Linked DNA regions of Struthio camelus. The protein of the gene in region 1 interacts with the protein of each later gene in a pairwise test. Links are inferred from orthologs where the notes say so. Each region holds a gene or a part of one and is shown on either strand. Other genes may lie near its edges. The genes, in order: TLE5, LMO4, BHLHE40 and SDCBP.

Region 1 (7,470 bases):
AGCCTGCATGCGCTGTGGTTTTATGTTTCAAACAAGAAACAGCTTCACCTACACAAAACCTGTTTCTCTTCTAGCAGATTACGTCCAAGTGCGGTGGCGGGGGGGAAAGCCTCCCTTCCAGTGGACATATTTCTTGAGGCTTCCTGTTCCATCACTGGCACTGCTCAGAGGCGGAGGGAATCCAGGAAATAGCCATTTCTAAGCTGTTACTCTGATTGCCTTCTGCCAGAATGACATGACTACAAACCTATGACCCAGTTGTCTGGCAGAGCCCAGGCCAAGGTGAAAGGTACATAAAGGCACAGCAGGGCTACACAAACTGCCATAGCACCGTGGCCACAGAGGCACATGCTACAACCAGGTCTAGAGGCCTGCTAGACCATGACAGAGGGCATCACTGAGTTGATTTAAGCTCAGAGTTTTGTGTTTCTTAAATAAACACACACACAAAAAGCAACAAACCATCACAAGCCAACTTTCAGGTCAGCAGAAGTATTTCCACTCTCACATGCACAAAAGCGGAAGCATTTGGATTTAAGTGCTCCCTGCAGCATTTGTAATCCAAGAATGGCAGCCAGCGAGAAGAACCGAGGAGAAACTCCCAGCAAGACATGGGAGGCCTGGCAAGCCTCTGTGCAGTCCTGGCTGAGCAACACACAGAGGGAAGTCCTTGGCTGGAGAGGGAAGATTGAACATTCTCCTCTCTAGGCTCCTAAGCGGACATGATTAATCCCTTCCCTGAGGTCCCATTTTAGACAAACATGACCCGAGCTGTACGATCAAGTCCCTCCCTTAGTGTTCCAGTTCGGTCCACACTGCAAGGCAATGGAGCAGAAGAATCAAAGTGATTCTTCTACGTCTTGCCACTGCTTGTCAGCCCAGCAGTAAATCTGCTGAGCACTCAGTGCAGTTGTCCCTGGGGAGCCCAGGATGGGCGCAGCAAGCTCCTCCTCTCTTGTGGAGAAAGTCCCCCCAGAAGGTGAGGGGAGGGGGGTCCTTGATGACCTGACACAGGTCATCAAGTTCCTGCAGGGTATATCCCACCAACCAGCGCCCAGGACGGCACTACCCAGGGTACAGGCACCCGTGGGCGCTTCTAATGGTTCTTAGCTCTATGGAGAGCAATGCTCAGAGTTCCCTGTCCCAAGACAAAAGTGTGGAGGACACTGGGACCTGTGACACACAGGAGCACCCACCTGTGATACTGGGCCTGCAGGAGCTGGAACTCATCTTTGATCCGGTCGCAGGAGTCAGAGGTTGTGAACTTCAGCTGTTGTGGCAGGTGAGAGGAGCCCTTGAACAACACATGAAAGAGCGCTGGGCACTGAGCAAATGCAGGGGTGGGAAGGGAAGCCAACACATGCTCCTTCCCACGAGCACAGTTTCCTTCTCAGCTACCTAGAGGTGCCTGTGCTGGCCTGATCCCACCACGCATCCCACAGACACTAAAGCACAGATTTGCTTTTTCAGCGGTACATCTAACCAGGAGCACAGATCATTTTAAAAGCAGGACGGAAGCTGCCACGAGGAGACAGAGAAGGAGGTGACACCCCCAAGGGCCCTCCTGGGGAAACAGCATGGTCAGGCCAGGGGGACATGCCCAAGGTCACCTGTGGGAACTCGGACGCAGAAGTTTGGCCAGGGTCCCTTTTCCAGGTTTTATCTCCACAGTCACCTTGCACTACAGACAGGGAAACGGAAGCGGGAGGAAGCTCCTCCTGGGGCTGGGACCCACATCTCTTGCTCGCATCTCATCCCCCCAAGCTGTCCTCTCCCTCAGCTGGGAACAAGTCCCAGGGCTCTAACCACAAAGCCACCCGCCGCCTTCCTTAACAACTGCACAGAGACAGTAACCAGGGCATCTCTGCAAACAACAAACACCCCACGCGCGAACGGGAGCCAGGACTGTGCGGAACGCCCTGGCGGAGGGATGGGGGGCCAGGGCTCGGGAAGGGGGAGGAGACCCCCCGCAAAGCCTCCCGCTCGCTCCTCGCTGCGGCGAGGAGGCAGTCAGCCAGTCAGATCGGGAGGCAACGAGGGCTCCTGCCAGCACCGCGGGGGGGAGAGACGTTGCAGCAAGAGCCCCCGAGCGAGCGCGGGATGCCGGGGCCGGGAGCGCTGCAGCCGCTCCGCCAGAACATGGAGGCGCAGAGGCAGCCGCTGGGACACGGCGCGCGTCACCCCCGGGGCGCCCTGGCCCGCGCCCCGGCTCGCCAGAACCGCCCTCGGGGCTCCACCGTCCCCTCGGACCCCCAGCCCCCCCCCCCCCCGGCAGCTCTGCCCCCCCGGACCCCCAGCACCCCCCAGCAGCTCTGCCCCCCCCCGGACCCCAGCACCCCCCGGACCTCCAGCACCCCCCGGCAGCTCTGCCCCCCCGGACCCCCAGCACCCCCCGGACCCCAGCACCCCCCGGACCCCAGCACCCCCCGGACCCCAGCACCCCCCGGACCTCCAGCACCCCTCACAACAGCTCTGCCCCCCCGGACCCCCAGCACCCCCCGGACCCCCAGCACCCCCCGGACCCCCAGCACCCCCCAGCAGCTCTGCCCCCCCCCGGACCCCAGCACCCCCGGACCCCCAGCACCCCCCAGCAGCTCTGCCCCCCCCGGACCCCAGCACCCCCCAGACCCCAGCACCCCCCGGACCCCCAGCACCCCCCGGACCCCCAGCACCCCCCGGCAGCTCTGCCCCCCCCGGACCCCAGCACCCCCCAGCAGCTCTGCCCCCCCCGGACCCCAGCACCCCCCGGACCCCCAGCCCCCCCTCACAACAGCTCTGCCCCTCGGCCCCCAGCCCCCCCACCACCCCCGGCCCCCCGCCGTCCTTCACGGGCCCTGCGCCGCCCCCAGACCCCCCAGACCCCCCGGCCGGGCCCGGCCCCGCCGTACCGAGTGCCGGCTTTGTGGAAACATCATGTCAGGCTGCGGCTCGGCCCCGCACGGAGCGGCCCGCTGCTGCTGCCGCCGCCGCCGCCGCCGCCGCCCGCCCGCCCGCTGCCGCCGCCGCCGCGGCGCCCTGGGCCTGGGCCGCCGCCGCCGCCTTTGTCCGCGCCGGGCCCGGCCGCCCCGCCCCCGCGGCCGCCCCGCCCCGGCCGCCCGCTCGCCCGCGCCGCTCCCGCCGCCGGCGCCTATTGTCTAATGGCGGCTGCTGCTCCGGCTCCGGCTCCGGCTCCGGCTCCGTCCTGCGGCTGCTCGGCACCACCTGCCGCCGCCGCCGCCTCCCCGGGCCGGGCGGGCCCAGAGCCGCCCCCGCCCCCGCCGCGCCCGCCCCCGCCGCGCCGGCCCCAGCAGCCCCGAGCCCCGGCCCCGGCCCCGGCCCCGGCGGCCCCCGCCCCTGCAGCCCCGAGCCCCGGCCCCGGCCCTGCCCGGCCCTGGCAGCCCCAAGCCCCAGCCCGAGCCCCAGCAGCCCCGAGCCCCGGCCCCGGCCTCAGCCCCGGCCCCGGCCCCGGCCCTGCCCTGCCCGGCCCCGGCCTCAGCCCCGGCCCCGGCAGCCCCGAGCCCCGAGCAGGGCACGTGGGAGCGGCGCCGGCCTTGGCGGCCCCGAGCTCCAGGCCCCGCGGAGGCCGCTGGCGGTGCCCGGCTCTGCCCCGGGGCTGGGATCCCCTGGGGCTGGGGGTCCCGCTGGGGCTGGGGGTCCTGCTGGGGTGGGGGTCCCGCTGGCACTGGGGTCCCCTGGAGCTGGGGGTCCACTGGGGCTGGGGGTCCTGCTGGGGCTGGGGTCCCGCTGGGGCTGGGGTCCCCTGGAGCTGGGGGTCCACTGGGGCTGGGGGTCCTGCTGGGGTGGGGGTCCCACTGGGGCTGGGGTCCCCTGGAGCTGGGGGTCCCCTGGGGCTGGGGGTCCTGCTGGGGTGGGGGTCCTGCTGGGGTGGGGGTCCCACTGGCACTGGGGTCCCCTGGAGCTGGGGGTCCCCTGGGGCTGGGGGTCCTGCTGGGGCTGGGGTCCCGCTGGGGCTGGGGTCTCCTCCAGGGCTGGGGTCCCACTGGGGCTGGGGTCCCCTGGAGTTGGGGGTCCACTGGGGCTGGGGGTCCTGCTGGGGTGGGGGTCCCACTGGCACTGGGGTCCCCTGGAGCTGGGGGTCCCGCTGGCACTGGGGTCCCCTGGAGCTGGGGGTCCCGCCAGGGCTGGGGTCCCGCCAGCCGGTGTGGGTGCTCGGGGCAGCGCCAGCTTTTGCTGCGCACCAAAACTTCCCGCCTCCTGCAGCGCCTGGGCCGGAAGGGCCCCAGCCCGCGCAGCAGCGCCGGTTCTCGCGGCTCCCCGGTCGCGCGGGGAAACGGGCGCCGGAGGGAGGAGGCCCTGCAGCCGCCTCGGCTTCGCGCCGGTCCCAGCCGCGGGCCTGGGGCGGCACCATCGCGCCTGGCCCGCGTTCGCGCCCTCCGAGTGGGAGAGCAGGGCTTGTTTGCGCAGGGTTTTCCTTTTGCTTTCTTTCGGCCGTGCCTCCTGCCGGGGCCGGCCAGGGTGCAGCCCGCCGGCGCGAGCGCTCCGAGGGCTCCGGTCCGGCCGAGCTCGCCGCGTGCCGAGGCTTCACGGCCGAGCCGGCGCCGCCGCGGGTGCTGCCGGCGGTTCCCCCGGCTCCGTCCTGCTCGGCGCGCCGGGGCCGGGACCGGGGCCGGGACCCACCGGCGGCCGCGGGCAGGAGGGAGCTCGTGTGCCGGAGCGCGCGGGGAGCTCTCGCCACCTTCAGAGGCTGCTCTGCCTCTAGCTTTAAAAATCAGCACGCTTTCTGATTAAAAATAAAAGCCCGGACGTCATGACTCCAGCGACGCGGGCTGGGCTGTGGCGGTGTTTATTTTTAAAGAGAACAATATAGCAGCCGAGTTATTGTGACACCTCCTGCGTGCGGCGCGGTGGCTTTTTTCCTTCGCCGTCTCCGTGCTGGAGGCAGCGGTGACAGCTCCGCGCCGAGGACTGTCAGCGGCGCAGGCGGGCCCGGCGCCTCCGCAGCCCGGGGGCGGCGAAGCGGGGGTCCCGGCCCCCTGCGAAGCCGGGGCGCCGCGCGGGGGCTCGGCCGGGGCCGCGGCGGCCCCTCGACGGAGCCCTGCTTCCCCTCGGCTGTTTTATAGCTACCGCGTCGGCGAGTAAGTTAAGCGCCAAGAGGCCGTGCAGCGTGCAAGCGCCGTGGTCCAAACCGCGCGTCGGCAGCCGGGGCGGCGCGGCTCCCATCTTGTTCTAACTTGCTCCCTTTAATAAACCCCCTTTGGCGCAGGCCCTCCTTGCTGCTCCCGTGGGCTGCAAGTTCGGAAGAGCAGACCTCTTCTATCGCCGCGGCGGGCCGAGGCCTGGGCCGTGACGTCGGCTACCCCGTGCCACCCATCGAGCGTGCGCGCAGGAGGAGGTGGCCCCTCACTGCGAGGCAGGGCTGTTTTTCCCGTTTGGCAGACTGTTTGCCCGTGGGAGGCGCTGAGGGATGGTGCTGTGCCGTGTCGGGCCACACCGTGCTGTGTGCCGTTGCACTGTGCCGTGCCGTGCCGTGTTGCACCGTGCCGTGCCGTGTCACACTGTGCCGTGCCGTGTCGCACCGTGCCGTGCCGTGTCACACCGTGCCGTGCCGTGCCGTGTCACACCGTGCCGTGCTGTGTCGCACCGTGCCGTGCCGTGCCGTGTCACACCGTGCCGTGCCGTGCCGTGTCACACCGTGCTGTGCCGTGTCGCACCGTGCCGTGCCGTGTCACACCGTGCCGTGCTGTGTCGCACCGTGCCGTGCCGTGTCGCAGGTGGCTGCTCCCTCCACTTTCGCCCCCGGGACGCTGCAGGTTTGGTAGCGATGCAGGCGGAGACGCACGGCAGGGTGAGGCCTCCCGGGCCACTGTCCTGCCCGACCAGCCTGGGCTACGCACGCACCCCCCAGCTGCGAGCCGCAGCCCTCGTCTTGCCTCTCCCCTGCTCCTTCCTGTGCGGCAAGTGCTCCTGCAGACCTTACAGTTCCTTTTTCAACAGGAGTGGAATTTTTTCCAGCTGAGATAAAGCAGCAAAGCTGCCACAAAACAACCTGAAAGAGCAGATGTTTCCCCAGGGATGGTGCTGCCAGCGCCGCGAGGTGTTTGTCCTTGATGGAAATGGGACCAGGCTCCTCCTGCAGTTTACGAACTTCCACGAGCAACAATAATCATTATAAGAGCAGATTAAACTTCCCAAAAGATGAGGCAGAAGAACTCTTCCACGGTGCTGGGCCGTCAGCGCGAAGCTTTGCTCCAGCATGGCAGCGCTGCCCCTGCGATGCTGCCTGCACCCGGCAGCGGCTCCGACCCAGCCCTGGGCAAGGGCCGGGGGCCGTGACCGTGGGGGGGGACGGGTGACGGGACCGGGCACCCCGCACCCCCGAGCCACGCCGTCCCCACGGGACCCGCCACCCTGCGTCCCCATCACGCAGCCCCGCTGCCCGTCCACCCCGGGCGGGTTCAGAGCTGCTTGCAGTTGCTCCCTTCCAAGAGGAAAATGAAACGTTCCTTTATGGGCTTTTATGTTGGCTACAAAATGTTCCACTTTATGTTTTTTCTCTCCTTGCTTTCTTCCAGGAAACACGCTAATTTATGGCATAATCTTGGCAAATCTCAATCCAGGGGAACACAAACCTGCTTGTGCCTCGTAAGTGACATTTTAATAGGCTCCGTTACCAGCAGGCTGAGGAATCTGCATCTCAAAGGGGGGAATTATAATCTCACCCAAGCGATGGGTCCGCACGTCGGCAGGGGTGGACTCGGCCCCGGGAAAGCCTGGCCCCGAGCAGCCCAAAAGCAGGCCCTCGCCGGGGGATTCCCAGAGCCCACGGCAGCCCGGGCTCCGGGAGCGGAGGTTTTCCAGGGCGCTCCGGGAGCCGGCAGCAGCTCCCCGGTGTTTTTGTCTGCTGCGGGGACGGCAGTGCCGGGAGGCTGCGGGGCCGGTCCCTCCCACACCGCCCCCCTCGGCCAGCAGTGGGGTCCGGCCGGGCCCCCTGGGCCCTGCGCTGTTCCCGGCGTGGCCGGCAGGAGCGATTGCGCGACAACGTCCAAACCAGGCTGAGCAACTTCCCCGTCGCTCCTGAAGGGAACAGCCTAACCAAGCTGCTGAAAATAAATCCGTTTAATGAAGAGCCTTTGTAAATTATTCAGATATGATATCCCGCTCCAGCCGTGGTTCAAGGAGAGATGCTGCAGAGAGACTTGCTTCTCAGATGTGCTGGATGCGAGGTGAAAGTCATGCTGTCACTGCAAAGGAAGCGTGGCCCTAAGGTCCTTCTCTTACCTTGAAAATACCTTATAAGTTACCTGGAATTAAAGAAGGAGAGAAAAAAAGGCGCAGCAGCAATGCAGGCCCTGAGTGGAGGACCCGTCAGGACCGCTCTTGGCCCCCAACACTGAAAGCTGCCACGTACAGGAGGGCTTGGCAGGACTGGGGCCTGGGGCAGCAGGGTCCCCCGGCCCGGCTCATGGCACAGCGGTGCGGCAGGACCTGGCGGAGATGCGTTCAGCCCCTCAGCTGCGCTTTGCGTGCGGT
Region 2 (7,149 bases), on another chromosome or scaffold:
TTCTGTTTCCACTCAAAGGAGTTTAAAGGTGCTTATGTAAATATCATAATTAATCAGATACTAAAGGCAGGCATTTCATTATGTAGCACCTCTGCCACAGCCTTATTTAAGCCCTACGATTTTAACATTTACCGTTCAGATATGCACGCTTCTCCTTCAACACTACAACAAAGCAGATTAATTTAGCCTCTCTGATTGCTGTTTATTTTTAGTTAGGACTTGTTTTGTGCTGACAAACCACTTTAAAGTTACAGTCGTCGTTCCGCCTGCCCCCCCTCCTTCCCTCCGCTTGGCAGCCACAACTGCGCCCGGGGCGAGGAGCGAACGGGGCTCCCCGGGCTGGCGCGGCCCCCGCTGCCCGGGCAGGGCCGACCCGGACCCGGGCACGCTGCTGCCCCGCGCCGCCGCCACTGGCCCGGCTGCCTCCTGCCTCCACGGAAGCCACGAGGCGGGGGGGGGGGGGGGAAGCTTTGCCCGGCTGCCTGCCCGGACGCCCCCCCCCCCCCGCCCGCGCTCACCTGATGTAGTCGTTTCTGCAGAGGATCATGCCGCTCTTGGTGTAGCAGGACGTGCCGATGTCCCCGAGCTGGGCCTGGCAGCAGGAGCACTTGAGGCAGCGGCTGTGCCAGTAGCTGTCCATGGCGTAGAGCAGGAAGCGGTCGGCGATCTTCCCCCCGCAGCCGGCGCACCTCTTCCACGAGAGGGAGCCCGCCGTCACCGGGGGCGGCTGCGAGCTGCCGCCGGGGTTCACCATGGCCTGCGGGAGAGGCGCGGGAGGGAGGCGGGTCAGGGCGGCGGCGGCCGGCGGCGGCGGGGCGGGGGGCGCCGCGCCTCGGCACCTCGCGGGGCGGCGCGGCCCCGCTCCGCGCTGCTGCCTCCGCAGCTGCACTCGGCGAGTTAGGAACAGTCCCGGGTTTTGTTTTGCTCAGAGAAAAAAAAAAAAAAAAAGTATGTGAGGGGCGGGGGGGGGAAAGAAAAAAAAAAAGTTGTGAAACTGGTTTTTCAGTCTAGGAGAGACTCTCCAGGCGGGGTAACGAGGGGCTCGGAACCGGCTGTCCAGACGTCGAGGTTTGGGGTTTTGGGGTTTTTTTTTTTTTTTTTTGAGATACAGAAAACACCCAGAGAAAACACTCCAGACCGAGGACGCTGGCCCGAATAACAGATCATTGAACTTTAGGACGCCTGTTAACTTCCTATACAAACATACTCAACTTTTGTCTCGCTAATCTGCCCTTGATCAGCAATTTAAACGCTAAAGCTTTGTTACTCAAAAAAAAAAAAAGTTTAGTGACCATAGGAAAGCAGCAGGATAATGAAGTGCACCGCTCAGGCTGCAGTTAGTCTGGCTGCCTCCAAAACTGCTAGTAAGGGCATTTTTCACTTTCTAATAAATGCTTGATGCAAGCAGGACAACTCGGAGATAATATAGGAATCAATTCATAAAGCTTACTCTAAACCGATTAATTTGTTGCCTTCAATCCAGAGTCCAATAAACTCCTGGTGTTCCTCCAGTCACTTATACTATAAAAAGATCAAGTTATTTACTGCCAATTAAGCAGCATGTTTTGTCTTTGTCCTTTGTAAGCCGTGTGTGCTCATACCGAGGCATCCGGCTGGCTGCGGAGGACGCTCGGGCTGATACCTCCGGAGCAGCGAGGCGAACTTTCCTGCCACCGGCCCAACTCGGCTCCAGCAGAGCGAGAACTCAGGCCGATTTTAAACACACATTTCCTCAGAAAGAGTTCCTGAAGGTACGTCCAGTGACCGCACAATAAACCAGCAGAACTGCACCAATTAAGCTGTAACAAAAACCCCGAGACTTTGGAAAGAAAACCACTCTAAAAGCCATTAGCATTGCATTTATCCGAACGCATCATATACCTTTATGTAAATTGATTTCTGATGCATTTGTTCAAGGAATTGCCTTTTGTTACAGTTTCCAGCTACAGCCTAAATGAATCTGCATTTCCTGCTCTGAGTCTTTAAACCGTTTCCCTACGCTTTAAATCACTCCGGATTTCTTAAAAGAAAGAAAAAGACTCCATGCTACCACATCACCCCGTCTTTGTCGAAGGCAAATATATATAAAATGGGAAACGTTACACCGAGAAAACCATCCCGTAACCCCATTAAGCTAAAGCTCTTAAGGACAAGCAATACCTTAATGCTGATTAAATCTAAAAAGATGAATCAAGAGGACTGACCAGAAAGTGACTCCCTTGATAACTAAGGACGGGCCCTCATCAAGTTTCATTTAGAGTTGGGGGGAAAAAAGCTTTTAACTTAAATAGGCTTACTCTAGTAATTACACAGCCAAGCAATTTAGGTCCTGGGATAGGAGTCGGTGAAATAGAAAGCAGAGCTCGAAGCTAGAGGCAAAATAACCCCCCCTTTTAACAGCGTCTCTGGTGCTTTTTTAATGGAGACCAAGGGAGGGACAAGCGGAGAGCTGGCAATTTGTAGTACAAAAATGGATGCTTAATTCACGTCTTGGTTTTAATTAGGTGATTCACCGGATTTCTCCTGGATTGAAACAAAAGACCGTGCGGGGGGCAGGAAGGGAACGGGAGAGGGGAGAAATAGAGAGCTCACTTTGATCTTTTCTGCCACTGTTTCAGCACAGTGTTTACTACGGGCGAAGCGGGCGCCCGGCGCTCCCCCCGCCCCTTCCCCTCCGCGCACAACCGCGGCCGGCAGAGCCCGCTCCCCTCCGCGGCTGCGGACAGGGGCAGCAGCCCGAGCCGCCGCCAGGCTTTGTACGCGGGGCCGGCGACAATGCCCGCGGCTCCCCCCGCGCAACGCCGCGCCGCGCCGCTCCGCGCAGCGCGGGACGGGGCCGCGCACGCTGCGATAATACCGCCAGTAATCGCCAGCACTCCTTACCTGCTTCCCCTCTATATTGCAAAAGGCCGGGGAGCAACGCCGCTCGGGGTCACCCAGGAGGTTTCCGTGCCACGAGACAAACCCGCCGCTCGCGCTCTCAGCGGGCTCCGGGAGCGCTGGAGGGGGCCCCCAGCCCGGCAAGTGGCAGCCCAGGCTGGAAAAATATAGATACTGCTACGAGCGGCGTCTGCCTGGGTCCTTCCTCCAGCTCGCACTTCCCGGAGGGGAGCTGCAGAGCTCAGTCCCCGCCGCCGAGCTGCACACGCAGGGCGCCGCCGCCGCTCGCTGCTGCAATCGCCGGGTAAGTTTGGCAATGTGGCTTCACTTTGTATCGCCTCCCCCCCGCCCCCCCCACCACCTCCGCCCCCTCCTCTGGGCGCCGGCGGCTCCCGAGCCTCCCGCAGCGAGGAACCGGCCGGCCGCGGCCCGCCGACGCGCCCCGGAGGAGAGGGCGAGCGGCGAGTTTGAGAGGGGCCGGGCGGGAGCTGCTGCTGCCGGCGATCCTGTGGCGGCGGCGGCGCTGGCAGGACTCAGGAGGAGGCCGCGGTGCGCGCGTGCGTGCGTGCGTGCGTGAGTGAGTGAGCGTGTGTGTGTGTGTGTGTGTGTGAGTGCGCGAGTGTGTCCGTGCGGGCCTGCGCGCCGCGCCGCCCCGCGCTCGCTCTGCCCGCTGCCCCTCACACATGTGTTACTGACAGAGCAGAATCCCAACTACACTCCAGCTCGGCTCCCAGCGTCAGCCCGCCGCAGCCAATCCGCCCCCGGCTTGTTCAGGCGGAATAATAAAACCTGCCAATCCCGGGGAAGACAAAGGAATGACTGAAAGAGGAGGAAAAAAAAAAAGAGCGGAGGGTGGGGAGGAGGGGGCAGAGGAGGAGGGGAATGGAGAGGAAGGAGGGAGTCAGGTGGGAAGCGGTGGCCGCCGCCGCCGCCCGGGCGGGCTGTGGGGAGCGGCGCCCGCGGCCGTTGGGCGGCCGTTAGGGCGCTGCTGGGCGGCCGTTAGGGCGCCGCTCGCCGCCGCCCGACCCGCTCCCGGCCACCACTTGAGAAACTTGCAGGCGAGGGGCCGTGGCGGCTGCCCGTGCCTCGGCCGGCTCCCGGGCGGCGGCGGAGGTGGCGGTGGCCGCTGGAGCCGGTGGCGGAGGCGCGCCCCCGCGCAGGCCCGCGCCCGGGCCCCGGCCTCGGAGACGGGCAGGCGGCCGGCCGGGAGGGAGGGAGGGAGGGAGGGGAGCGTCCAGCTCGTGTTTCGGGTAAAATGGGCCTGGTCAAGCCGCTGACGTTTGAAAATCCACTCGCTGAAACCAGCGGGGAGTTGTGCTTAAAAATGAGTGTCAGTATATACCCCGCTATTATTAGTACCCTATAAAAGATTTAAAAGGGTTAAACCGCTGCAATTGGCTGGCAGTTGGCAGCGCTGCTTGTCATTCGGAAAGACAACTGCATTTCTGGAAAAGAAGCCAAAGCGTGATAGCAAACCAGAAGTAATACTCGGTAGTGACACAGTGGAAAAACATGTAGATATATATATATATTACTCGCACGTTTCTGAGGCCTAAGCAGAGCCCACACGATAAGCAAAACCCAGCACCCTGTAACAACCCCTAGCCCGCTGGAAACAATGGAAGTATCTGCAACGAGAGGGCGGTTGGCCGGTGCTCGCCAGGTCCTGCAGGCCGCCGGGCTGGGCCGGACCGGACCGCTGCAAGGACGGGCCCCCGCCGGGCACGGCCTGCTACCGCGCGCAGGCCTGCCTCCGCCGCGCAGCACGCGCCAGCGGGTCTCGCAGAGCTAACTGCAGCTAAAGAGTCAGTTAAATTACACATTTCCAGGATCCGTTAAACAACACAAAACTTGGTGATGTTAGTTTCTTGATTCCAGACCGCTGACGTAAGGAGCAGCCAACGCAGGGAGAACAGTCGGACTTCACTGTGACTGCAGGAGGGGGCAGGCGGCTGCAGCGTGTTCCCAGGGACTAACGCGGCCGTGCCCGACGGGACAGGGTCATCCTAAATGGGGACGGGTCGCTGCACGGCTCGCCTGGTGCAGTTAACTGCTGTTGTCAACTACCCGTTTTATGGCTGCAGCGTCACTAAATTACGAGTTTGTGTGGGTGCGCTGCCTCTCGATTGCTGAAGGCAACAAAATATTTTAAACCTGCTCCTCTTACAGTCTAGTGTAGAAGCGATGTGCCGGCACAAGTATCTGAAATTCTAGCCAGGGAAATTTATTTACAAATATATGCGTTTGTACTAAGAAGCAGACCAACTTCCCTCTGACAGCCCGACTACTAAATCTTGTCTCTGTAATCAAAATCCAGGTGTACTTTAACCACAGCGCCACCTGTGGGTCTCCTTTATTTCTGCATCCCTGGCCTGCAGGGGACTGAGGAGAAGAGTGCCCAGTAACCAGATAAAATTTATTTAAAATATGTCCAGCTGGGAAAAATGTACCTGGGAAAACGTAGGACATCATAGATGTACTCTGTTTTTATTATATATCCAATAAAATATTAAAATTTGAGTAGCACTATAGGTATGATTTAAATATAGGGGAATACACCATTTCTTTCTCCATAGACAGGGCTATCTGAAGAATCTATACATAAAGTAGACAGGGAGCGCATGGCAAGCTTCCACGAGGGAAGGGGGAAGAGGACCAGCACTGTGGTTAAAAGTAAGTGGTGCATTTTTTTTTATCATATGTCTATGCAATATGTCATCTGGATGTAATCTCCAGATACATATTACATTTAAACATATTCAGCAGTTTCAGATTTGTCATTTAGGATCTGTTACAATTTAAAATATATAAAGTAACAAGACGTGCTACGGATAATCAACTATCACTGTTATTCTAGCTCTCTGACAGCTAAGAGCACAAGAATAGAGCAAACGCCAAGCTAAAACAAAGTCTAAGCTGTCTAATTATTTAAGGCTATAATGGCTGGAAGCTACCAAATTCAGGCTCTGGAAGAACCTTCAGGAGCTCTTCTTATTGGAAGAGATACTCTACCAAGAAACTGCGCCATAGGCACTACAATGTTTACTAGTCTTGCAACTGATAGTGATAAGAAAAATGGGAATTACCTCTTCTGAAGGAGCAGAGTTTTAAATGGCTTAATGACATTTTCCAAATACCATTATAATGTTCATATCTTTTTCTGAAATCTAATCTTCACTAATTTTTGTGATTAATTTTAACAGAGGGAACCTTAACTGAGAGCATTTTGCAGAGCAATATTTTTCTAATTTTTCTTTTGTGCAGCATCTGCTGTTGCTGTGCTGTCATCTTCGTTATGTTTTTCATTGTCTATGTGCCATAATGTAATTAGTTAGTTCAACATCATCTGTGCTATTAGATGAGATGTTTCTATGGTAAGTTAACGTAGTTCTGAGTAATTGGTAGATTTCAGCAGTAGGCACGAATGTATCCATCAACTTTAGGTGTATTTTAGTCCGCAAGATTCAAATTCACTTGGCATACTTCATCCTCAAAGACTGTTAATTTTGGCTGAATGGATAAAAAACACAATGCAGAAGAAAATCTGGCTGCTTATATTGTGGTACTGTTGGAGTCAGGGAGAGGAAAGCATAAAATTGCTGGCTTAGTAGAAAGTTGCAATCTGAAGGTCTGGAAAACGTTTCAGCTTGTGATCCAAATCGTTCTTAAACCTCCACATGCCACTAAGATAGCTGATAGTCCAGAATTCACTGGGGTTCTCTCTCCATTCGTGAAAGGAGTCTTAGTTCTCTCCCCAAATACTGCATTCCTATGGGATCTCAACTGTCTTTTCCTTTTCTCGTTAGAAATGTTGAGGCTGCCACTGTGTTGGGAGAGCTTCCATGTTGCACTTTGCTAGTCTGTGTCTTCCAAACTCTACCTTTTGAACAACCATTTCAACTTTTAACGCAAACCCTCTAGTCTCTTTGGAAGCAGTGATGAAAAATCAACAGCCACTTGTTATTTTAAAATAACACACCCTTTTGCTAGCATAAGATCTTCTGTTTTAGGATCTTAAACAAATTACAAATGTGACTAAGTATTCAAGTGGGCTATCTAATGATATGGGAAAGTGCACATCCCCTGCAAGTTGTGAAGAATTCTGCATGGCTTGACTCTCAGCATTCTTTTTCAAACAGCAGACAGTACTTTTCACCCCAAACAGCAAGATAACTCACTTTTAGAAAAATATGTATAAATTTTGACTTGCTAGTAAACACATGAGTAACATTATTTACAAGAATCCAGTTCCATGGAAGGTAGTTAGGA
Region 3 (7,920 bases), on another chromosome or scaffold:
TTGCAGAGCCCATCACGTCACTGCTAAAAGGGCCTTCGTCTTCGGAAGTTTCCATCCTGGTCCTTTTGGCTGGTGGGTCCTCAGTCTCTTGCTTAATAGAGCTTATTCTCTCCTGGACAGTATATTTGAGTTCCGTATCCTTTTTAAAATACTGCTGCTCGGATTTGGAGTCACTTTTCTCCAGCTCTCCCCCATAGCCGCTGTCTGTGTCGGTGTCGCTGCCGCTCTGCTCGCCGCTGGAAGGAGCGAATGTCCTCTGTATCACCGGCACGCAGTTTTTGCCATGTCCCTCGGCCGCTCTGGTCAAGGAGCCAGACTTCTCCTTCGAGTCCACTGTTTTCGGAGGGATGTCTGCGGCTTTTCGGCCGGCTCCGCCCTGGAGCACCTCGGAGGCCATTCGGTGCAGATGGCCGACCAGCTGAGAAGACTTCAGGTCCTTGCCGTTCTCGTGCTTTGCCAGGTATTGCAGCATCTCCTTGGCGCACATCTGGAAACCGGATCGAAACATTTCCTGGCTGGAATCGAGGTTTCTTGATGACAGGTCACCTGAGGAAACGTTAGCAGAAAGAAATTAAAAATTAACAACGTGCTAAATAGGTCCATTCCCATCTTCGAGGCACCCTGGAGAGAAGGGCTTCACCTCCGCTGCTACAAAACAGCTGAACAGGCGAACCTGAGGGTCAAACCGTGTTTTACACGCGCTCCCCTGATTTCTGTACAGGCATACGTTGTTTCTTCTTACATCCACCCGTCCACTTTTGGATGTGAATTTCAAATTTGTTTTTTATTTCTAGGTCTCCTGTACGTGGCAACTGTAACACGGGTGCAGGTATGGAGAAACAGCAGTGAATCAACCTGGTACCTCCGCAGGGAAGAAGCGGTTTGAAAGCCAGTTTGCAACCCGCTTCCTTCCCACCAGGAAGGGAGCGCTTGCAGCAAGCTCACCCTCCTTCAGCTCCAGGAACCGAGGGCCGTTTTGCTTCAGCTATAGGACCTTGGCTTAAAGCTCGATCGCACACCCCGTGGCTATTAAAGCAGTGGAAATCTCTTTAGAACAGCTAAATTTTACTTTATCAGATTCACGTGAGTGCCACGTGTGAAAACAGGAGAAGGAAGTACATTTAAAGCACAATAAGCCGCTAGACCTGGCCCCCTCTTAGCCGACAGCAACACGGGCTGATCAGTTTAGAAAGAAGCCTAAAAAAAAAAAAAAAAGGTGTGTGCAAAAAAAGGCAGATGCTTTCATATTTTTGAGGAGGGAAAAAAAAAAACGGATTTGGTCCAAAGCTCCTAAACACCAATAGAAAGGCTCGGATGCCTTCGGAGAGAACCTTAAGCAAAACCGAGCTTTAAATAAAACTAGTAACGTTCAAATGAATTTTAAAACAAAACTCTCAGCGCGCTCTGAACTGACCGAACTAAGAAACGAAAAGCGTCTTTCTCCTGAGGACTCATGAGCAGAGTGAGGGAAGAGGAAGGCGATTAAAAGAAAGAACTCCTTCCTCCTCCTCCCTGCCCTGGGACCAAGTGCCACCAGGGCACGGCGCGGGCTGGGAAAGAGAGTCCAGGGCGCGCAGGCAGGTTCTCGCTCGCTGGGCTTTGAACACTCACCGGCTTGTAAGCCGTTCTGCAGGGCAATTATCTTCTGCTGCTGCTGCTCAATGAGGTTGGTCAGCGCCTTCACGTGCTTCAAGGTAAGCTCCAGAACCACCGCCTTCTCCAGGTGCCCCAGAGTCTGCAAGCCAAAGGGACGGGTCGGCGCCGGCCGCCTCCGACCGCGGGGAGCCCAAAAGGGCTTCCAGCGTTTTCAGAGCGACGGGCAGGGGCGGACGGCGCCGGGAGGCAAGGCTGGCGGGGCAGCGCCGTCGCCCGGGGCGGGGAGGGGGGGGCCCTGCTTCGCCCGAAAACCTATCTTTCTCGAACCTGCAAATAAACGAACTCGAAAGCAGGCCGCAGAAAAGGCTACCGTCGTGTCTCACGGTTATTTTCGGACCGACCGCATAGCTCACAGAGAAGTATTTTATTGATCTGTTCTGCTGCCCCTGCTGGTATCGTGACCTTAGCGCAGGGGAAGGCAGCCCGGAGCGGGCCCGAGAGCCGAGGGGAGCCCGGCTCTCCTCCGGGACCGCCAACAAAGCCAGCGGCGCCCGGGGTCGCGGAGGCGGGTGAACCCCCCCCCAGCCTTTCCGTGGGGTGGCAAGGGAAAACCCGCTCAGAGAGAGCGCCAAGGCCTGGGGGACCCCTGGGAGGGCGGTGGTGGCAGAGCCCTGGCGGGGGGACGGGGCGGCGGGGCGCCCCCCCCCCCCCACTTACGGTGAGTTTGAGATGCTCGGGCAGGAGGTCCTTCAGCTGGGCGATGCACTCGTTGATGCGGTCGCGCCTCTTCTTCTCGATGAGCCTGTGCGGCAGCTTGTAGGTCTCCTGGGGGGGAGGCAGAGGGGGCTGGGGCGGGGGCAGCGCGCCGCCGAGAGACCCCGCCGCCAGGCCAGGGGGCTTCGGCAGCATTTTTGGGGGGTGGGGGGGGGGTGCGGCAGGGTGGCTACAAGCGGGGCGCAAGGGCGCGGGGCAGGCAGCGCCCCCGGGGCGCGCAGAAAGTTTTCGGGCAAACCGCTGCCGAAAATCGGGAAAGGACGAGCTGCGCCCCCCCAAACCCCGGTCGGGGTCCCCCCCCCCTTCACCTTACTGTCGTCGCTCCTCTTCAGCCCCCTCCGCGGCTTGTACACTTGGTACATGTGGGCGAAGTCCAGCCTGCACGAGCGGAGGGAAAAGCGGGCGGGTTAGAGCGGCGCAGGGCGCAGCGCGGCGCAGCCCCCCGCGCAGCGCGGCGCAGCCCCCCCGGCGCTCACCCCGGCCCGTCGGTGCCCTCCAGGGCGGGCAGCTTGCCCAGGCACAGCGGCGGCGGCGGCGGGGCGCCGGGCAGCCGCTCCATGGCTGCGCGGGGCTGCGCGGGGCTGCGCGCTCAGGCGGCGGCGCGGCGGCGGCTCATGGCGCGCGGGCTGCGCGCGGCTGAGCGCGGCGGGGCGCGGCGGGCTGGGTTAAGTGCGGGCGGGCGGCGGCGGGCGCGGCCCGGGCGCTGCGGGCGGCGGCGGTGGCGGCGGCGGGGCCGCCTCTCTCCCCCCCCCCCCCTTTCCTTCCCTCCCTCCCTCCGGTCACATGAGTCTCACGTGGCGGCTCGTCTCCCCCCCCCCCCCTTTCTCCGCTCCGCGCCGCCCCGCGCAACGTGACGGCGGCGCCGCGTGGGAACGCGCCGCGCTGGGGAGCGCAGCCGCCGCCCGCCGTGCCCGGGGGCGGCCCCGCTCCGCCGGCCTCCGAGCTGCGCACGGGCGGCCCCGCGCTGCAGCCTGCGCCCTCTCCCTGCAGCCCGCGCTGCAGCCCGCGCGTTGTCCCTGCAGCCTGCGCTGCGCGCTGTCCCTGCGCGCTGCCCTGGACCCTGCCCCTGCACGCCACCCTGGGCACTGTCCCTGCACGCCGCACCACATGTGATCCCTGCGTGCTGCCCTGCACGCTGTCCCTGCACGCTGCCCTGGGCACTCTCCTTGCACAGCACACCATACACTGTCCCTGCCTGCTGCCCTGGGCACTACGCCTGCACGCCGCACCACATGTGATCTCTGCACGCTGCCCTGCACCCTGCACTGCTCACTGTCCCCGCATGCTGCCCCGCACGCTGTCCTTGCATGCTGCCTTGGGCACTGTCCCTGCACTCCACAGCACATGTGATCCCTGCACGCTGCCCTGCACAGCACACCACGCACTATGCCTGTGCGCTGCCCTGCCCTGCACGCTGCCCTGCACGCTGTCCCTGCACACTGTCCCTGCACGTCACCCTGCGCGCTGCCCTGCACGCTGTCCCTGCGCGCTGTCCCTGCACACTGCCCTGCACGCTGTCCCTTCACACTGTCCCTGCACGTCGCCCTGCACGCTGCCCTGCACGCTGCCCCTGCACTGTCCCTGCATGCCGCCCTGCATGTCGCCCTGCACGCTGTCCCTGCACGCTGCCCTGCACGCTGCCCTGCACGCTGTCCCTGCGCGCTGCCCTGCACGCTGTCCCTGCACGCTGTCCCTGCGCGCTGTCCCTGCACGCTGTCCCTGCACGCTGCCCCTGCGCGCTGTCCCTGCACGCTGTCCCTGCACGCTGTCCCTGCACGCTGTCCCTGCACGTCGCCCTGCGTGCTGCCCTGCATGCTGCCCTGCACGCTGTCCCTGCACACTGTCCCTGCACGCTGCCCTGCACGCTGTCCCTGCACGTCGCCCTGCACGCTGCCCTTCACACTGTCCCTGCACGTCGCCCTGCGCGCTGCCCTGCACGCTGTCCCTGCACACTGTCCCTGCACGCTGCCCTGCGCGCTGCCCTGCACGCTGCCCCTGCACGCTGCCCTGCACGCTGTCCCTGCACACTGTCCCTGCACGCTGCCCTGCACGTTGTCCCTGCACGCTGCCCTGCACGCTGTCCCTGCACACTGTCCCTGCACGCTGCCCTGCACGCTGTCCCTGTGCGCTGCCCCTGCACGCTGTCCCTGCACGCTGTCCCTGCGTGCTGCCCTGCACGCTGCCCTGCACGCTGTCCCTGCACGCTGTCCCTGCGTGCTGCCCTGCACGCTGCCCTGCACGCTGCCCTGCACGCTGCCCCTGCACGCTGTCCCTGCACGCTGCCCCTGCACGCTGTCCCTGCACGCTGTCCCTGCGTGCTGCCCTGCACGCTGCCCCTGCACGCTGCCCTGCACACTGTCCCTGCACGCTGCCCCTGCACACCGCCCTGCACGCTGTCCCTGCACACTGTCCCTGCACGCTGCCCTGCACGCTGTCCCTGCACGCTGTCCCTGCACGTCGCCCTGCACACTGTCCCTGCACGCTGCCCCTGCACGCTGCCCCTGCACGCTGCCCTGCACACCGCCCTGGGCACTATCCCTGCGTGCCGCACCGCATGCGATCTCTGCGTGCTGCCCTGCTCGTTATCCCTCCGCGCTACAGGAGCGCGGCCTCCACCTTGCGCCTGTGCCTTGGGCGCAGGGTGTGCAGGTGAACGTTTTATCGGCACAGCTGCGGTGTTAAAGGCTGCTCTTTCATACCAATATCCGTATACAGATTAAGGAAAAACAACAACAACAACAAAGAAACACATAAGCTGATACCCATATTAAACGCAGCCTCTGAACTAGGGAAACCCAGGGCGAAGCGACTGGGAGTCCAGGCCTGCTAGGGAACGGTTAGAGGGAGGTGCTATTTCTTGCCCGTCTCAGACGCTTCGGAGGTTTCAGTCTCCGGCGGAGCAGCCGGGATCCTTGGATGCCAGCTGCTGGCAGACGCCGCGTAGGACTGCGGCGGTGCGTGCCCGCCGGAGCGTGCCTTTCCTCCGGAAGGGTGCTGGTCATTTACCCTGCTGCGTGCGGAACAAGTAGAGGCAAGTTCACCCGATAAAAGGCGCATTTACCTAGAGAAGGCAACGGGAGCGGAGGGCAGAGCCGTCGCTGCCTCCCCGGGGGGTTCTGCACGCTCCCTGCAGGGAGGAACCTGCGGGCCGCAGGGATCACGTTGGGGCCTAAAGAGGTCTTACGCGAGAGACGGGGGCACCCGCTTTAAGGCACACCGTCGTTTGAGGATGCGTGTTATTACCAGGAGAAATCCTAGGAGAAATCAGAGCCCTGCAGCAATCTGCTAGCCTTGACTATAAGCTCTGTAAAAAAAAACAAAAAGCCAAACAATTCCTTACAAGAGCCAAGTGCATCTCCAGCACAAACGATACACCACTGCATTAACGACCCAGAGCTTCCGAAAAAAAAGATGCTTAGGTTGTGCCGGGCAATAGGCCTGTCCCAGTCAGTATGGTCTTCTCTGTATTTTGCGGCCCAGGTCTGCAAACGTGACATTTATCAGCAGGGCCAGCTCAGGCGCTTTGAGGGTCTGCCGTGATGCTGCAGACCCTGCCCACGAGCGAGACGATTCCAGCTCATCGGAGAGGACGTAGGTGTTGACAATTAAGCATCGCGCGTACACAGGGGTAGGATCAGACCTCCGGCCTGTAAACTTCTCAAAGCAGAGATTGTCGTTCATGCGGGTGCTTAATAAATTTGGTAATCATCGCCACAAAAATGAAAGCGATGTCTTTGTCCTTGCAGATGAGGTGAAAGCGAACAGAACCGGCATAAATAACGGGGAGTGAATCAGATGGTTAACTCTCTTTTTGCTCTGAAGATCTCAGGTGTGATCTGCCAAACAAAGGGGGAGAATCACATACGCTTTTCAGTCTGTGCCATCACTGACCCTCTGTCTAAGGCAACAGACATAATTAGAGCTTGCTGCAGCTGATTGCTAATGAAAAATGAGGTTTGGGGCCAACCTGCTCTGCATTTTAAGTTTAAACTCAGAGTGTACGTGGACAATTTCATGCCCATGAATTGTTTGACTCTTGCATGCTCTTTCAGATATTCGGTACATTCCTGCAGTGGGTGGTGAGCTACAAATCAGGGTCAGAGGTAATCCCCAATTATTTAGCCCTTTTACTGTTCTCGTGCTTGCCAAACAATTCTCCATATCAGGATTTACTCATGACCTTAAGGGAAGTTGCCAAGGATTTAGGAGTCCCCCTAAAAAGAGGATCCAAATGAAGTTATTACATTCTTGGGCATCAAGTTAGATTGCTGGAGAGTTGAATTACATTTTCCTGAGGATCAGTTTTCATAAGCTAAGGCTGATGCAATCATCAGTTTGCCATCTCGATTTTTTTTTTGTTGTTGTTGTTGCTGATTTATTTCTGCGTGGAAGGTTCTTTTACAACGTATGATTGAGGCAACAGCAAAACGTTTAAAAAGGCTTAATTTTCTAAAGCCATTAAGGGAGAAACTGGCCTTTCGAGCGCTCGTTTCAGAACGGCCGAGTGTCACAGGATAGCAGCAGCTTGCGTCCAACAGGGATTTGTAGTTATTTACAGATACGTTAAAAGGCAAGGGTTTGCAGTTTGTTTTTGAAGGTGTGCTGAAGGCTGGCGAAAGGGATTGAGTCCCTGGACGTGTTTCTTCCTGAGGGCTTGTCCCCTTCCAGCCACGAGGGTGGCAATTTGGGGTGAAACGTTCTGAAAATCACTGGCGCTGATGTCTGATCGGAGCCTATGTGGGCAGCGCTGGGAGTTAACAGATGGGTTGTGGATTCAAGCTTACGATAAGGTTACTGAGGGTGGTTTTGTTTTAAAATGTCTCTTACTTAATATATCCATGAAGGCCAGGCATGTGCCTGTGGCCTGTAATCAAATAGCTGACTCTCCTTCTCTCTCATTTCCAGCAATCTCGTGTCAGGTTACTGGCACCGGAGGTTAAAGAACAGCCATGTCTTGGACCACAAGCCAAGGTTGGAAGCTAAGGTTATGCCGAGCAGGAGGAGCTGCATGGAAGTGGTTAGCCCTCCGCATCTGACGGGCGTCCTCCAAGGGCTTTCTAGTTAACACCCATTACTTTCTGCAGAAGTAGAAGTTCACGGGGGAGCCAAGCAGTCTGTAAGGCAGCCGCGTGGAGCAGCTAGGTATAGCCTTCTACCAACCTTTACTCAGCAGATGTGGCAGGTCTTTCCCAAGACGGGCAGATCTCCAGCCCGTGGGAGGAGCGCTGAAGCCAGGCAATATTGCATCCTTCACCAAACGCTCGCCGTTTTACCGGGGCCTGGGCTGGGCGGTCGTTAGACTTCTTGCTCAGCGTAGCAATTTTTGAGCCAGGTTTCAGGAGCGCTCAAGATCAGCAGCTTACTGAAGGCCCTAGGCATATCATTTCTCAGCCTTATTGGTAAAGGCAAGCCCATGAGAACCCGCGCTCACCAGCCTGGCGGAGGATCCCCAAATCCTTCGCACGGGGTATGAGGAAGAGTTTGTCATCCAGCAGGGCTCTGCCTTGTTCTTCTGGTAGCCTGCAGGTAATTGCAAAAGCTTGAATTTAA
Region 4 (7,293 bases), on another chromosome or scaffold:
ACTGTTTTTTGGTTTTGTTTTTTTTTTTTTTTTAATTCTGTTTTAAGCCAGCGTTGACATGAAACGGTCACTTGTTTTGACTCATCCAAAACAGATAACAGCAAGTGCAAGCCCAAGTCCAATGAAACCGTCACTCGGGTAAGCAGTCCTCCAGACTTGGCATTCTGCTGCCGCTATCTCTAAAACCATCCACAACACCAGACACACAATTACTTCTAAGCTACATCTGTGCTAGCAAATTTAAACTACAGGTTCAAGCACTGACACAGTCTTTCAAAATTAGCATAGTCCCTGGCACTGCGAAGGCTTGCTCCCCACGGATGGCAAAGTCACCCTGCTTTAGGGTGATGAGGGAAGGGAAGGGAAAGAGTTCTGCTCAGAGTGAGCTAACGACTTCATATGCTAGGCAGAGAACAGCACAAGGTCTGTTGAGTTGTGGTCCCAGTTTCCACAATCTAGTTACATCTCCTCCTCCATCAGCTTTAATTTTTCCTCCACGTGCCACTTTCACTCCACACTGCGATTCCTGGTCATGTTTGTCACAGAGGGCCATATCTTTTTCTAATTTACCAAGAGGAGCGTGGTACTTCCTGTAGGAGAGCACTACCAAAGCTAAACCTGCATTTGTTCTCTGATCATTTAAGAAAATATTCCAGGAGTTTATCCTGCTGTTTTACAGTCATATAGGCCACCTTGTCTCCTCTGCTGGAAGTTCGCAAAATACAAGCATTCGTCAACATTACTGAGGAGCTGCTCTTAGCTTCCTGGCTATAATCTTAATGGTTACTATAAGTGAGTTTCTAAATAAATAGCTAGAATAACTGTCACCACTGTAATTACATTTAGTGAGTATGTATCTTTGTTGCTTTTATGTCAAAAAGGAGTATTTTCCATTTCTGCACCAGCAGTTTTAACACTTAACTTCCTTTAGCTAATTACAGGTCACATACGTATTTAAGACGACAAAAAACAGTGTATTTAGTTTAGAATGTAACCATTTGATAGCCATTTTCACCATAAGAGACCACCAGTAATCTTGGGAACAATCTGTCTATGACTTGTACCTCATGTTATCCACAGTATAAATAAGAGTTTAAACAGACCCTGAAACAGCCTTAGACAGAAGCTAGCAAAGGGAGCTACCACAAAAAAGGAGTCATTAGCTTCCTTTCCTCTCAAAAATCTACAGTTATTTGCCTTGATCTATAGAATCATTTGCTTTGATCATTCATACACTCCTAAATCTTGTAAAGAACACACGTAGTAACCTAGAAAGCGTAGAAAAGCAGAAGTGAAAACAGAAAAGAGTGGAGCAGAAAGGATGGAGTCTTAATTCAGCTAGCAATCCCACAAAACTCTTCCGCAAAGCCTTCTCCACTTTTCTGTGCATCTTTGGCTTGGAAATGCTGCTACGCAGCAGTAAGCACTTCTGACTAAGTAGGTCTTATTTACTAAAGGAGAGTAACCAATCACCGGCCTGAGGAACCCATGGAAATACAGCACTCGTGATATCCTTACGCTATCAGCAGGAAGTTTTAGAGGCAGAAGTAATCTCTAACACAACAAAGTGGCATAGCTGGAAGCAGACAGGCTTTCAGACGCATTTTCCAGGTCTGAAATGACAAAGCTAAATGCAGTTTAAGAACCGAACTTTGAGGCTGACCAGCATGTAGCAACTGCCATCTCTGAAAGGAGCAGCAGCCAGCAGGACTTGGGGGAAAGGGGGGGGGGGGGGCCCACGGGGAGAAGGAGGCATTTTATGTGTTTTATGACTATGGTATATGGAGAAATTACTGCAGGCTGTAAAACTGGTACCTCTATTAAGCACTGGCTTTGACTTCCAGAATAGCTAGAAACCAATGAACTATAAATTCATCTTTAAAGGAGAGACAGGACAAAACAGCCTGAAGGTCAGGCAGAGTACATCAGGAATAGGGCAGATTGTCTTGCAAGACATGTTCTCCACGAACAACCGAGGTTTGTTTGTTTTTCCCCCCCTTCTGATACATGTCTGATTAGCTTTAGAGCAGTGGCTCTCATTTTGCACTTAGCCCCAAAATCTGCTGCCTCCACTTCCAACCCGAAGAAAGGCTCCCCAGAAAGACATCCATTCCACCCCCAAAACAATACTAAATCGGTCTAAAAAGAAGGCGTTACAAGCACCTACAAACCTTCCCACGAACGCACTGGAGCTAGCGGAGAGAGAAAGGTCTTACAAGGAGCCTGAACGAGGAGCCAGAAACCACCCCCCAAAAACGAGCCTGGCTCGTAACAAAGAATCAAAACCACCCCTGGAGCCTGATTCACAGGCCGCCCGAAGCCAGAGCGGGCCAGCACACACGCAGCCGGTTCGCTCTTGGCTTTCAGCGCCGGCAGGACGAGCGGGGGCGCTTCTAACGCGGCGGCGGCGCAGCAACAGGCGGCGGCGGCTCCCTCCGAGCCGGGCCGCGGCGGAGGCCGCCCCGGCCGCGGCGCGACATGGCGGTGCGGCGGCGCCCCGCCGCTGAGGTGGCGAGGGGAGGGGAGAGGGGAAGGGACGCGCCGCTTCCACAGGCGGAAAAACGAAATCGCTTCTCGGCTCTCGGCAGAGCCGACTCTCCCCGGCGGCGCCGGTGGTCCGAGGCGGCCGCGCTGCCCCCCGCCCAGCCCCTCCACGGCGTCGCCATGGTGCCGGCGGCGCCGCTTCGCCTCCGGCGGGAGCCGTTAGCGCTGCTGCCGCCGCCGCCGCGAGCCCCCACCCGCCCCCGCGGCCGGCCGGGCCGAGCCGAGGCGAAACGGCGCCGCCCCGGGCCCCGCACACACAGGGCAACCGGGGTGGGGAGAGGGGGAAGAAGTCCGGTGGCGGTCGCAGGCCGACAGCCCCCTCCTCTTACCTCAACCCAGGCCGTTCGCGGAGGGACCTCAACGCACGGAGGGAGAGCGGCGGCGGTGGCAAGAGCAGCAGATCCCGGCGTCGCCGCTATGAGGGGCGAGGGGGCGGTGGAAAAACTGGGCCGGCACCGCGCATGCTCCGGCGGCGGGAGCCCATGACACGGCGGCAGGGCGGGGCCGGGCGGAGCCCGGGGGCAGCGGGCGGCCGGGCCGGGCCGGGCGGAGCCGGGGGGCAGCGGCCGCTGACGCTGACGCGGGTCAGGGCGGCCGGGTCGCGGCTGGACTGCGGGGCTGCCCCGAGAGACGGGCTCGGGCTGCCGCCTTTCCTATCAATTCCCCCCCCCCCCTTTTTTTTTAAATAAAATGTATTCTATATGCTTTATATCATTACTGATTGTTTGGGGTTAGTCCTTGCTTTTTTTTTTTTTTTTACTTTTTTTCCTCCTCTTTGTATATTTACAGCTTTCAGCGGTGCAGAGGGCCCTGCGCTCTCGTCGCCTCAGGTGCGGCTTAGCACCCTACCTCGGCCTTCTCCGACCGGGAGACAAGGCACGTCTCTTAGGGGAACACCCTAGAGAAATCACGATTTAAAATACACTAGTTACAGGAAAATTCCACTACAAACTAGGAGAGTGGCTCTTATACTTGACTACTGTAGTTATTGCGCTTTTACCTTATTTGTAGCGTTAACTTCTCCAGCATCAATTGGCAGTCTTCTAGATCCTTCTTTGCAAGACTACCTGTGGTCAAAAAGTTTGTTCCGCATGGCGGGAACTATTCTGATCACCCCAGAGTTTCCCCTGGGGTAGGAAACGGCAGGGTTCGGGGAGCTGGTCGGACCGTACGCTGGCCCTGAGGAAGCAGCTCTTGCTCTGGCTTCCAGGCTCTTTCCCCTGTCCTGCAGCTCCCAACTGACCCCGAGCCACTTCCAACCACTGCCCAGTGCTTTTGCAGGGCAGTTCAACTCACTGATGCAGCAGAAATTGAATCCCCGAAAGACGTGAATGTTTTTCCTCTGGGCTAGTGAGCTAAGCTGGCAACGAAAGGATCCCACAAGCTCTGGTGCCAGGGCAGGGGAAGGGAGGGTGTTGCTGGAAACAGGAGAAAAGAGGAGGAAGAGGAAGGAAAGGGAAGGTCCCTCTCTTTTAAACAGCAGCAAGCTGTTACGTCATTTTCCACTGCCTAGGAAATTACAACTGTATTTAAACAGATTTTGTTATAATACATATTTTTCAGCCCTCCTAAGCTTTTTGGATCTCTCCCGTTGTCAGCATCTTTGGTGAGCATCACAGGGCTGCATCGTGTTCTGGCAGCAGTCACAGCAGCGCTGAATTTGGAGATACAGCCTCTGTCCAACCACTCAGAAGGTTTCTGGTTTTATATCGAATTATTAGCCAGGTCTGCCACCTTCCTAAGTACCTTAACCTTTGACTACTGAGTCATGCAACTACAGATCACTAGATATATTTATAAGTGCAATTTCGGGCCTACAGTATGAGTTCACAAAAATTCTGTTAGGTACCTTTTGGGCAGGGAGAGAGAGAGGGAGGGAATCTAGCTCTGGCTTAATAGGGACAGATAATTATTGCTTTTGTAGTGCTAAATTTTCTCTGTAGTCAAAAATGATTTTTAATATAAATGAAAGACTTAAAAGTGTGTATGCTCAGAATGAGAGTGTAGCTTTTCATCCCACGGTGAGCTCGGTGGGGGTGAAGCCCTGTGCCCAGCCTGGGTAGTGGTGGTCATCAAGAGCATGGTAGTGTCCGTAAAGCATGGAAATAGCAGACGTGTGATTGACTGAAGCACTTAACACGACTGTGCATTGTCCACATGGCGCAACCCTGCTGAACATTGGTGCTGACAGCTGAGGGGCAACATCTTATTTCATTTTGACTTCGAATGCCCTTCTTGTTCCAGAGGCACTGCTCCTTTCTCCAGAAAGCTAGGTTTTTATTTGCCTTTTGCTGCATTACTTTATCCCTTGTCATGATCTTTTGAGACATTCACTATCAAGGTAGCAGCATTTGTCTGTAGATGTCAGACCTGCGTTGTCAATGCACATGTCTTGATTTTACCCAAGAGGCTGTAATAGAACATGCTTTTATATATATTTTATGTTTATATGTTTATTTATTTATAATATATATAATATATATTCTATGTAATTTTATATAACATATTATCTATATCTCAAATATATTTATGAATAAATATATATAAGAATAAATATATATAACATTTATATTTTATTTATAATGAGGTTCTAGCCGAAACACTGGACTCCATACAGTCTGTTATTTGTTGGGCTTAGTTTGTGTGCACTATTAAAAACACACAATATAAAAATAAGCAAAGACCGATCACAGGCCAGTAGCTCCGTATGGTAATGGAAGTGAATTTCATTACCTTCATCTCCGAACATATCGTGAAACCCAACTTACTCAAGGTTTTAAAGAAGAATGCTATGAAGATGCAGCCTTGCTTAAGACTACTACAGTCTTGAATAGAGACTACTACAGTTTTGAACTGAGAAAGATTAACCTTGTTATACTGAAAAACATTCTTAAAATCATTGTTCATTTAAATATAGAAATGAAACACAGCAAAACACAAATATAATTATTAGGAAAAGGCTCTGTCTAATCTGTGCAGCGAATGCACCATTTGACATGTGTCAGGGTCTTGATTCTTTGAATGCAGAGACCAAAGGGTCCCACTGTCCAAAAAGTCTGAGTTTCCTTCCCAGGGAAGCTGAGACACGGAAGGGGATGGCATGTTCCTCAATCTCTTTGTGAGGTGAACTCAAAATCTGGGACAAAGAAAACACTTTCGTGCTCCAGAATTAAGACGTTGGCAGCAGAAGGGCGTGGTTGTGCCTTTCTATGAACTCTGTGGCGATTGGGGAGCTCTAAAGAATCGGAGCTAAAACACTTACACAAGCAGCTCTCGATTAGTTCCTGAAGTATTTGCAGAAAGCATTCCAAGATTACCTATTGTTTGAGAGAAGTGGAACAAATGGCAAAGTTATCAGATTTTACTCACTGACATTAGAACACCCATGGGCAATTACGTGGTAATTTTCCAATTGTCAGTATGCTGTTATTTTTTTTACTAGTCGTATGCCAACTTTCAAAAAATAATAGAAACCACCAGATCAGTATCAGTGTTAGCAGCTGCAAAACTCTTAATAAAATAATACATGCTAATCACTCCAAAATTCACATTTCTCCTTTGAAGCTGGAAGTAAATTGTGCTTGTGTTCCTTAGGAAGCTCTCCACCCCTGCAACAATGAGATGTTATAAATGGTCACTCAAAACATGTACAAACTGTGCAAGAGAGCACCCTGGCAGTACTAGGAGTGGAATAACTGTATTAAAGAGGTTCTTTGCCTCTAATTAGAGTGTGTTGGAGTGAGTTAACTGATCCTGCTCTCAGCTGTGTGCAAAGAAAATCCTAACGTACTGTTTGTGTTTCTCGAACAAAGCAGCTCTGAGCCCTTTTAAGTAGCTCCCTGGTGCTGCATTGCACTGGGCACTGAGACACTTCTAGAATTTGTGAAGAATTTTTGGAGTTTGCGCGTAGAAAAAAGAATTCCAGAGCGAAAAAAAACCTGTCATACAGAATAAATTACGTTAAAAGAGCTTCACCCAAGTCAAACATTTAACATTAGAAACTAACAGAATTAAAATTGCCTGAGTCACTTTGTTTCTGACTCCCTGTTCATGCGTCAAAGATCTAGTCTTTTTAATACAGTAGAACATATTATTTCCACTCTCTTCTCATCAGCCCGTGGAATGGATGGTGCTCAGTGAATGTACAATTTTCCAGTGTTCAATTTGCAGTTCCGTACCTGATTTCCTGCCTGCTATTCAAACTCCGCTGTAAAGATGGCAATATTAATGTTGTCACAGTCTTCTGAGTAACACTCCAATGTCTGACTGCTGTGCAAGCAATTATTAATATTTTTTCTACTGTGTTTCCCAAAATATTAACATATTTCCCAAAATATTAATATTATAACAATATTTAATATAAAATATTAAACATATTATTAATATAAACATATTTCCCAAAATATTAATATTAATATTAAGGCATTTAACTTGAATATGCTCTTAATGCATCTTTTCGAGCTTTCAGTTCTACAAACTTTTTGTGAGAATTGTCGAACAGTATTTGTTAAATCAGCACCTTACTGACTTCAATCACAGTTATGATTGAACACTTCTGTGCCGAACACTTCTGCAAATTAGACTCCAGGGCCTCTATGGGGCAACGGAAAAACGAGAAAGCACAGTGGTGGCTTGTGAAGAGTCTGGCTGAAGGACTTGTCATTACGCAGGAACCCTGCGGCAGAGGTGCGAAAAGCATCGGATTCTGCAGACTGGCTTTCCAGCACTTAAGCAACATGACATTCCTCT

What was found.
Region 2: the proteins of TLE5 (region 1) and LMO4 interact in binary tests that used the Homo sapiens proteins (3 or more experiments, as listed by UniProt). The two-hybrid records come from large-scale screens. The link is inferred for Struthio camelus from reciprocal best matches to the Homo sapiens genes TLE5 and LMO4.
Region 3: the proteins of TLE5 (region 1) and BHLHE40 interact in binary tests that used the Homo sapiens proteins (3 or more experiments, as listed by UniProt). The two-hybrid records come from large-scale screens. The link is inferred for Struthio camelus from reciprocal best matches to the Homo sapiens genes TLE5 and BHLHE40.
Region 4: the proteins of TLE5 (region 1) and SDCBP interact in binary tests that used the Homo sapiens proteins (3 or more experiments, as listed by UniProt). The two-hybrid records come from large-scale screens. The link is inferred for Struthio camelus from reciprocal best matches to the Homo sapiens genes TLE5 and SDCBP.

Annotation. Positions count from the first base shown.
Region 1 is NC_090967.1:7,814,051-7,821,520, forward strand, and holds the start of TLE5 (TLE family member 5), read right to left. Parts: upstream 3,018-7,470; 5' UTR 2,916-3,017; coding exon 2,889-2,915; intron 1,295-2,888; coding exon 1,197-1,294; intron 1-1,196. UniProt on the Homo sapiens protein: Transcriptional corepressor. Acts as a dominant repressor towards other family members. Inhibits NF-kappa-B-regulated gene expression. May be required for the initiation and maintenance of the differentiated state.
Region 2 is NC_090949.1:20,631,980-20,639,128, forward strand, and holds the start of LMO4 (LIM domain transcription factor LMO4), read right to left. Parts: upstream 3,018-7,149; 5' UTR 2,884-3,017; exon of another isoform or gene 2,710-2,883; intron 758-2,709; 5' UTR 755-757; coding exon 519-754; intron 1-518. UniProt on the Homo sapiens protein: Transcription cofactor. Plays a role in establishing motor neuron identity, in concert with MNX1, acting, at least in part, to disrupt LDB1-LHX3 complexes thereby negatively modulating interneuron genes in motor neurons.
Region 3 is NC_090955.1:2,511,279-2,519,198, forward strand, and holds the start of BHLHE40 (class E basic helix-loop-helix protein 40), read right to left. Parts: upstream 3,013-7,920; 5' UTR 2,930-3,012; coding exon 2,847-2,929; intron 2,749-2,846; coding exon 2,679-2,748; intron 2,422-2,678; coding exon 2,314-2,421; intron 1,736-2,313; coding exon 1,612-1,735; intron 547-1,611; coding exon 1-546. UniProt on the Homo sapiens protein: Transcriptional repressor involved in the regulation of the circadian rhythm by negatively regulating the activity of the clock genes and clock-controlled genes.
Region 4 is NC_090943.1:135,811,705-135,818,997, forward strand, and holds the start of SDCBP (syntenin-1), read right to left. Parts: upstream 3,013-7,293; 5' UTR 2,874-3,012; intron 2,195-2,873; exon of another isoform or gene 2,172-2,194; intron 1-2,171. UniProt on the Homo sapiens protein: Multifunctional adapter protein involved in diverse array of functions including trafficking of transmembrane proteins, neuro and immunomodulation, exosome biogenesis, and tumorigenesis.